Neurospora crassa OR74A: one gene and its partner. The protein of the gene in region 1 purifies or fractionates together with the protein of each later gene. This does not show direct contact. Links are inferred from orthologs where the notes say so. Each region holds a gene or a part of one and is shown in the gene's direction. Other genes may lie near its edges. The genes, in order: NCU06314 and NCU03311.

Region 1 (4,568 bases):
ATACGGTTACACGCGTCCTAACATTATGGACGCTAAACTCGGCAAGCGGCTGTGGGCAGATGATGCGCCCAAGGCGAAGCAAGAGCGGTTTGATATAATCACCAAGGAAACCACCAATGGCTCGCACGGGTTTCGCATCGCCGGCATGCGCGTTTACAAGGGATCCACCAACCCCTCTGAGCTGGACGAGCAGGGTTATAAGGTCTACGACAAGCATTACGGCCGGTTAGAGGTCAATGCCGACAATGTTGTGGAGGCGATGCGCAAGTTCATTTTCAATTCTCAGGCCGGGATAGATGAGGAGCTTGGCAAGATCATTGCGGGTCTCTTCCTCAATGACCTAAAGCGCATCGAGGAGGTGTTGGCTTCGGAGGAGAGCAGAATGTACTCGGCGAGCTTGCTGTTCACATTCGAAGGAGACGGCAACGCGTTGAGAGCTGCCCTTGACCGGACCCGAGCTGACATGTCGGGAGAGCAATACAAGAAGGATGATGGACCGTACACGCCAGGTCTATCTGCATCTCGCGTTGATAGTGGCATCGAGATGGATGACGAGGGGCAGATGGTGTTTCCAATCAACGCAGCCATCGGCCAAAACATGATACTGGCGAACCTGGCTCAGGCACCTGGTTCCCAAGACATCCAACTCACTGCCGATTCCGACGCAGACAGCATGTCGGGTTCCTCGAACGGCGATATTCCTCGCATCTACTCCCTCAAACTCATTGACTTTGCACATGCCGAGTGGACACCCGGGCAAGGCCCAGACGAGAATGCTCTGTTTGGCGTTCGGAGTTTGATCAAGATCTTTGAACAGCTGGCAGATGATTGAAGGGCGGGTTTCCGAAAGCAATCGTGGAGTTAAGGCGGCATTTCAAGGCGTTTGGGATTGCAATTGGGGCTACCTTGCGAGACTACGGTTAGAGCATGTCACGGGCAGGTTAGAGGAAGGAAAAGAGACGAAAAGGGAAGAGAGCATATACGAATATATATGCATAGGTAGAGGAGAGGTTTTTGACGTCCGTTACGAACATCATTGAAAGAAGGGGAACCAGCCACACGGGCTATTAGGGGGACGGCAATTCTTTTCACGCAATATACCCCTTATTTTTGTTGTACGCTGTTATCCGATCTTGCCACAACTTGAACGTAATTGTAGTATCTGGATGTGGTTGTTGTTGTTGATGTTGTTGTTGTCTGTGACAGCAATTCACAACTTGCGCTGGAACCATATGCCATATTTTACTGTTTCAATGTTTTTTCTTGAAAATCTGCTATGAAGGCAGACATGCTACTGAAATTTGACAAACTCACCAGCAGCTGGTTAGAGGCAATAGGTACTAAAACGGGCTGCTTTTAACTCGATTTTCAAACACTCGAACTGGGACGAAAAGTGGAAGCGGAAAGCACAATTACACCTGGCAGTCTGGAGTAAGACAACCTCAATGAATGCCCTTGACACGCTTAGTACCTTCAGGGTACACAGCGTTTGAGCCCCACTGCCCGCAGCCGCTAAACTCACCTCAGCTTCAACAGCCCTGGCCTTGCTGCAGTGAGCATCAGCTCCCCGTCTTCCACTTAGGTTCCATTGCATGCCACAATAACCTGGAATCCCTGCATGCCAACGGCTGGACTTTACAACTTTCACCCCCATCGGCGCAAACGCAAACAGAACCTTACAAGAAGGAGAACGAAATACAAGTACATATCCAACAGCCTGTGAACAACCTCGTTCACGCGCTGAACACAGCCCGCAATGTCAATTCCAGGCCTCGGTCAGATAGCCCCGCAGGTAAACGAACCCAAGCTCTCGCGCGGACATGCTTCGTATAACCCCAGGCGCGCACGTGTATCCAACGGCATCACCATCTCCTCACAAGCCATTATTATCCATAGGCACACTCGTGACCCGAGATCACAACCAGCTAACCATCGCCTGCCATTTGCCCGTTTTCGGTAATCCAGGCTCCCACAACCACCCAGCGGACCATTAACCTCCGACCGTTCGGCGAATGGCGCTTCTCCATCCCCCACCAACACAGCACCTTCTCATCGAACTCCTCCGCCGCCGGAGTCACCGTCCGCCTCGTCGCCGGCACTGCTGAGCGCGATGGCACTGAGCTCGCGCCCAACTGCGTCTACACATTTCTCCCCGGCACCAAATCAAAGCTCTTCACCGATCAAGGATGCACTCTGGAGATCAACAACACGGGCGGCTACCCCCTCGAGGACCGCGTGGTTGAACACCCGCCGGAACAGTCGCCCATGCTTAGCTATATCAACCTCCACTTTGGCCTCCAAGACCACGAGCGTGCCGCGGCCGCTCAGGCACAACAACAACATCCTACACACCACCAGCAGCAGCAACAAGGGAGAGGAGCAGGAGCAGGAGTAGCGAGGTCAAAACCCGGGCCAAGAGTGCTGATCTGTGGTCCACCCGGCGTCGGCAAGACCTCGCTGGCGAAGCTCCTCGCTGCCCTCGCCACGCGCATGGGCTCTCAGCCGCTGGTAGCCAATCTGAACCCGACCGACGGGCTGCTGTGTCTACCCGGAACGCTGGGTGCGGCCGTGTTCGGCACGTTGATGGACGTGGAGGAGCCGGCGGGTGGGTTTGGCGTGACGAACACGCCGATCAGCGGTCCCAGCGCGGTGCCAGTCAAGAACCCGCTCACATTTTACTTTGGACACGAGAAGGTGGAGGACGACGTGGACATGTGGAGGCAGATGACGGAGCGGCTGGCGGTGTTGGCCAGGCGCAAGTTTGAGAGGAATCGGGATGTGAGGGTGGCGGGGTTGTTGGTTGATACGGCGCCGGTGGAGGCGGGGGACAAAGAGGGGCAGGAGCTGTTGGGGTGGGCGGTTAGGCAGTTTGATGGTGAGTTTATGTCTGATTGGCCTCCAGAAAGACCTCATCAAGAGTGACGAAAGCTAACAATGCAACTATAGCAAACTTCGTTGTGGTGCTAGGCTCTGAACAGCTAAAGACAGAACTTGGGCAGCGGTTCGCAAGCGAGAAGACGAGCTTTGAAGAGCCGATTACTGTCCTCGGGTTAGACAAGTCGGATGGTGCTGTACAGATTGACAAGGCGTGGAGGCAGAAGTCTACAGAGACGGCGATTAAGGAATACTTCTTTGGTGGCATTAAGGCGCGCTTGAGCCCCTTTACACAGTCAGCCAGTTTCGACGAACTAGTCGTTTTCAAGGCGCCTGACGGTGAGTTTTCTCTCTCTCTCACTCTCTTTCTCTCGCTGCACTGAAACTACCTCACCCTACCTGGCACCTAAGCTAACGCCTGTCTTTACCAAAACAGAACCCTATGAAGGCGCCCCAGTCCTCGAGCGAGTCGAAATCACCCCCGAAATGGCCCACTGGACGCTAGCAGTCATGATCGCTTCCGTGACCGACTCGCCGCAAGCCATCCGCTTTTCCTCGGTCCTGGGCTTCATCGTCATCGCCGACGTGGACCAGGAGCGCAGGCGGGTCAAGTTCCTGTCGCCGGTCAGCGGTCGGCTGGGCAACCACCCGCTGATATGGGGACGCTGGCCGGAACCGTATCTCAACCTCCTGGCGTAGGCTCGCCGAAACGTGATACGGGTACGGATGAGAGATGGTGGTCACCAATTGAGCCTGCAAGAGACAAATGATCTCCGGGTTTGCTTGAAGGTGTGGCAAAAATTGACGGATACGGCTGGCGTTGGGTTGGGCTTCGAGATGGAAAATGGTGAAAATGGCATGTAAAGGTGTTTGTTGTTATTCTTGCTTTTGGGTGTCTTTTGACTAGCATGAGAGTGAGCGGGAACAGATTTGGTACCTTGTTATTCTCCTTTGGTGGCTTGTTTGATTCTTGTTGAACATTGTTATTGGTACTTGAAAACGCAAGGCATCAGTCAGTTGTATGCTTTTTGCAACACTCATATCTACCAGTCACTCATTGATATGGGTTTCGTGGTAGAGAGCATGATTTTTGGTCTCTTGAGAGTTTTGAACGTTCTGCTCGAAATGGAGAGTTCCTAACCAGCTTCAGAAAGTAATCGTACTATATCAGCAAAGCTCACATCCAAGTTTTCCCACAGTAATAAGTAGATCAAATTAAAGACGCCGAGATACATATGTCTCAAGTTAAACGTTGTTAGGAATAGAAACAAGTTATGTGCAATGTGTTTACGCTGGTTGTAACATAGTATAGAGTCTTCCCGTTTGGTACTCGTCTAAGAACGTGACCGATTTGTTTATGGTTGGTTCCCCCTATTCTTGTTTTCTATCCTGGCCCATGAGGCTATGATACTGATGGTGACCATTCGGACGAATGACATTATATGCAGTAGGTCATTTACCTTCACCTTATCGCTAGAATCACATAGTGAGCGTGACGAGTTACCTATATAAGGGGATTCAAGGGCACCAGGGCACCGTTAAATGTGCATGGCAAGTAAATTTTCCTGTACATTGACATGCTCCCCTCCGGGAGTCAGTAAAAACGTTACTTCGTAACTCTATCAGCAATGGTTATTCACTTTGCTGGAGAAAGAGGTACATCCTCCACTAGGAATAAATATCGCTGTCCTACA
Region 2 (4,547 bases), on another chromosome or scaffold:
CGCTTTGGATCACTAATAGAGAGGATGCCTCGCACCTAAACAGGGCCATTTGCAGACGAGCTTTTCGATGGATATCTTTTTTGCGAAAGCTTCCTTTTCTGAAGATCATCGCTAAATCCGGCCTTTCCGATAAGTTCATTAAAGTCTGTTGTACACTTGGGGTTTCCGTCACATCCATAAGATACATATACAGCGGAGATTTTTATCCGTCATCTCATGCTCCTCCTCTCTAACTTCCAAAGGCCTCGGCTTAGTTGTCTTTGGACCTCCGATCTTCGAAAACGTTGAGGCCCAAGCCCTCAGAATCAAGGAGCAGCCTGTTCTTGCCGCCGGCCTCCTGGATGATGTTCGCAATTGCACGCGCATTCTCCAGCTTCTTCAATTCCACATACGACTTGCTCTTCTTGATGGCCTCACCGATGAGCTCCGCAGAACGGGCCTCACCCTGAGCCTTGACCACCATAGCCTGCTTCTCTTGACGCGCCTTGTCAACAATAAAAGCTGCGCGCTGCGCTTCTTGCTGTGCGACCTGCTTGGCCTCTACTGCCGCAGTGAATTCGGGGGAGAATGCGAGGTGCTGGGGTATGGTTAGCCAGAGATATCTACGACGCAAAAGAACGGGTGGAGGAATCGTACTGTAAGCGACACATCGTCCAGGAGGATGTTGAACCGGGCCGCACGCTTTGCCAGGTTCTCACGCACAAGCTTGGCAACCATCTCTCTTTGGGTGATCAATTGACTGGCGTTGAATTGCGCGACAACGCTCTTGAGAACCTCGTTGACGATTGAAGGAAGGACCCGCTCGTCGTAATCGGTACCGAGGGTACGGTAAATCTGAGGCAAGGCCGTGACTTCGGGTCTTGAAAGGACACGGCAGGTGATGTTGACCATTTGCAAATCCTTGGTACCGGTCAAGGAGGACACGTTTCTGGGCTTCGCGCGGACATCGTAGGTAATAGGGGTCTCGAACCAGGGGATCATGAGATGGGTTCCTATTCAACTTGTCAGAAAAACGATTAAGGCTAGCGAGATAGAGACCAAGCGGCGAAAGCAGACGAACCTTCGCCATAGATCTCCTTGCTAACACCATTAACTCTCCTGTACTTGATCGCTCTGTGACCACCATCAACGTTGAACAGGGAGTTTGAAAGGACCCAAGCACCACCACCAAGAAGGGCGAAACCGGTCAAGGCAGGGCCCAAACCGCGGGGAGGGATGGGGGGCCTGCCACCTGGGAAACCGCCGCCGCCGCGAGACCGGGCAGTCTGCTGAATCTTGTTCAGGAGATCCTGATATGGGTTGTTCGACATGCTGGGCTGCTGTGAAGTAATGGGCGGCCCAAAGATGATTTGGAGTAGGAGCCCTGGGTTGGTTGACGGATGTGGTGGGGAAATGGGGATTGAAGTCGTCACGATAGCTTGCCCGAGCTTTTCCAGCGTCGGAGCTAAGACCACCCACAGGCAGAACCACAAGCGAGGCGCATCACTAAAGTCCACTTGCCATCTGCCTACCACCCTACTGGCGCAACTGGGCTTCTAGGTACCGCCTGTCTCACTTTGGTCAAGCACAGACCATACGCTCACGTGGGTCGCTATAGCTTGTCGCGACGGGAGCAGGACCTTGATGGATCGTAGCTCGGAGACAAGTAGAGGTATCCACCCCCGCGACGTACATAGCCCCTGCATTCCATCGTCGAAGCGACACAGCGACAGAGAGTCCAATTTTTGACGTGTGCAAATCCAGAACTACAAACTTCCATTTGCAGCCACCAAAAGGTTGACTCCATTCCCAGAACTTCTCCCCGTTGTCAGAGTATTCCCACCTCGACCAAACCCCCATCTTACAAATCGACGGTATCTGGCAGCAGGCTTGGGCTTTGAAATTGAAGAGAAAAGGCTAAAGAGGACCCAATTGCCACCAGGTAGTCTAACTACGACTGTGTTAACTTCCATCTCATCCATTTGCCAAAGTTCGCTGTTCCTGCGCGGTCCCTATTGTTCCCATCGATTCATACCAATTCCTGGTTGCCCATCCCACCTGTCCAACATTTGGTTCGCTTGGTGATTCCCATTCGATCAGCCCACACAGCTCGCAGTCAAACTCACGCAGGATTGTGCCTCTCCACCCTCAGCAGCGCTACTGCTAGACACTTTGCGCTTCGTACAACATATTTGCTCGACAGTGAACGCGCGCATCGCCATGTCGACACGCCAACCTTCACGTGTGGTCTTCGTGGGAAACATCCCTTATGGTACGCAGACAACCCGCTTCTGTCCAGGTCAGACGACGACCATCTATAAAAGCCCACCCACTGACAGGGACAATGCAGGCCTTACCGAAGAGCAGATAACCGAAATCTTTAGCGGCGCTGGACGGGTCCTCAACTTCCGCCTTGTCTATGACCGTGAAACTGGAAGGCCAAAGGGTTTTGGGTTCGCAGAATTTCCCGACTACGGTGCGTATCCATCTCTGAATCAAGTATCCCTCTCCCGCGCACACGCTAATCAGCTTTCGCCGATCTCCAGATTCCGCTGCATCGGCTGTACGAAACCTGAACGACCACGAGATTATGGGTCGCAAGCTGCGTGTCGATTTCAGCAACGAGACTGTCAGCGACGAAGACGGTGGCAGAGATCGTGATGGCGGGGTATGGCACAAACCAACTCAACTCACCTCACTTTCACACCCAATCCACTGACCATGACGGCCTACCTAGTCGAATCAGAACGCCTCCGGTAGCTACAACGCTCAACCTCCCAATGGGGGAGGCTACAACACCGCTCCCCCCGTCAGCGCCGCCCCTCCTGCTCTCGGACCCTTGCCCCAGGGCAAAGACCTTCCCCCCGATGTTACCTGCACCGACGCGATCTCCCGCACCCTCAACACCCTTCCCCCGGCTCAACTTCTCGACATCCTCCAGCAGATGAAGACGCTGGCGACGAACGATCCTGCTAGGGCCACGGAACTTCTCAACCAAGCGCCCCAGCTGAGCTACGCGATATTTCAAGCGCTCCTTATCATGGGCCTGGTCTCGCCGGACGCTATCAACTCAGTTCTCGACAACCCGGCCGCTGCTGCTGCTCCTCCTATGGGTACTCCCGTTGTCCCCAACCCTATGGGCGGTGCTCCGTACGGAGCTTATCCCGGCGCCATAGCCACCCCCCCTGTTGCCCCTGGTCCTGTTGGAGGCTACGCAGCACCACCTGTCGCCGCGGCTCCTATTCCAGCTCCGACTGCTGCTGCTGCTGCCCCAGGGCAGGATGCAGAGGCGCTGATGCGTGCCGTTATGGAGTTGCCGCAGGAGACGATTGACAAGCTGCAGGAAGCGGAGAGGCAGCAGATTTTGGCGCTTCGCGCTCAGTTTTCTGCTCAGGGCCTACGCTAATATGACAGACGGATGATTCAACCAGTCAACTTTCCGTGAACATGGGCAAAAAATATGTATTGGGGCCTCATGTTCCTGTTTTTCTGTCGTTATGCATTCTTTTCTAGGCTGGTCAGGCGTTATGGTGGTGGCGGTCGGTTTCACACTCTAAATGGGAGCATTGCAAAGGTTCAATAGAAAAGGGTAAATATCGGTGAATTTAACAGCCACAGTCTGGAAGCTTAAACCGCTGAACAAAGTCAAAGTTTCGTAACGATGTATACTGACATAGCTTTGATCAGGTAGACGACACACATCATCAAAGGGATGAAGACAGAGTTGTGGACTACATGACTTTGCTTTCCGCTTTATTCTTTTAGAAGCATCTGTCTATCCAATCGCGAAAATGACAGATATTCAATCTCACTCCACAAAACGCCATCACCACCCCACAACGCCTGTATTTCGTTCTGTTTCTTTTGCCCATCCTTATTAACCAAAACGCTGTCATGTAGACATGTGCTCTCTCAGTACATGAGAGGATCTTGACCTTTTCGTCCAAAACATAGTCGTTGAACCCGTATGGTACATCATAAGCCCTCCTCACTTGCCTCCACTCACTCGCTTGCGTGCCTGTCTGTATCTTTACACAATCTTATACACACGCTTCGCAATCAGATAACAGCCAAACCCAAAAAGTAGCAGTCCCGCTGTGATGGCCGTGAACCACTTGAGGTCGCCCTCGTTCCCCTGCCCAGGGACCCAGACGTTCATGCCCCAAAGACCGGTAACGATGTTCATGGGGAGTACAATGGTACCCAAGACGGTGAGTCTCCCGAGCACGTCAGCCGTCTGCTCCTGTCGCTCGTTCATGCGTATGTTGATTTGCGCTAGGTAGTTGGCATGAGATCGTGCTAGGATTCTAAGTTGAATGATATGTTAGGATTCTGGGTTTGAAATTTGCTAGAAAGTAGTAACTAGTGGAGAAGCAATTGGATTGCTAGAGAGACAACTTACTTCTCATAGTGACTCAAGTTCGAAGTCATGGTCACAATATGATCCTGAATGTCACCCAAGTACAGACCGATCTCCGACCGAGGCGCCACCTCCCAATGCTCGTTGCAACGCTTTGCGAAGCTCTTGATGACGTCGGCCTTGTTACCGAGCAGTCTGTAAAGCGACA

The links.
Region 2: the proteins of NCU06314 (region 1) and NCU03311 purify together in Saccharomyces cerevisiae (affinity purification with mass spectrometry; 8 studies listed by BioGRID, with this or other methods). This does not show direct contact. The link is inferred for Neurospora crassa OR74A from reciprocal best matches to the Saccharomyces cerevisiae genes CLP1 and RNA15.

What each region holds. Positions count from the first base shown.
Region 1 is NC_026504.1:2,943,084-2,947,651, forward strand, and holds NCU06314 (hypothetical protein), read left to right. Parts: upstream 1-1,605; 5' UTR 1,606-2,265; coding exon 2,266-2,875; intron 2,876-2,946; coding exon 2,947-3,213; intron 3,214-3,310; coding exon 3,311-3,573; 3' UTR 3,574-4,053; downstream 4,054-4,568. Other genes in the region: NCU06315 (inositol hexaphosphate kinase 3), read left to right, coding at 1-832. UniProt on the Saccharomyces cerevisiae protein: Component of the cleavage factor IA (CF IA) complex, which is involved in the endonucleolytic cleavage during polyadenylation-dependent pre-mRNA 3'-end formation. Associates with HRB1/CF IB to form the cleavage factor I (CF I) complex.
Region 2 is NC_026501.1:5,271,536-5,276,082, forward strand, and holds NCU03311 (polyadenylation factor subunit CstF64), read left to right. Parts: upstream 1-1,665; 5' UTR 1,666-2,199; coding exon 2,200-2,251; intron 2,252-2,329; coding exon 2,330-2,455; intron 2,456-2,525; coding exon 2,526-2,647; intron 2,648-2,716; coding exon 2,717-3,385; 3' UTR 3,386-3,946; downstream 3,947-4,547. Other genes in the region: NCU03310 (prohibitin-2), read right to left, coding at 251-577, 637-992, 1,061-1,310; NCU03312 (CorA family metal ion transporter), read right to left, coding at 4,010-4,286, 4,382-4,547. UniProt on the Saccharomyces cerevisiae protein: RNA-binding component of the cleavage factor IA (CFIA) complex, which is involved in the endonucleolytic cleavage during polyadenylation-dependent pre-mRNA 3'-end formation and cooperates with the cleavage factor NAB4/CFIB and the cleavage and polyadenylation factor (CPF) complex.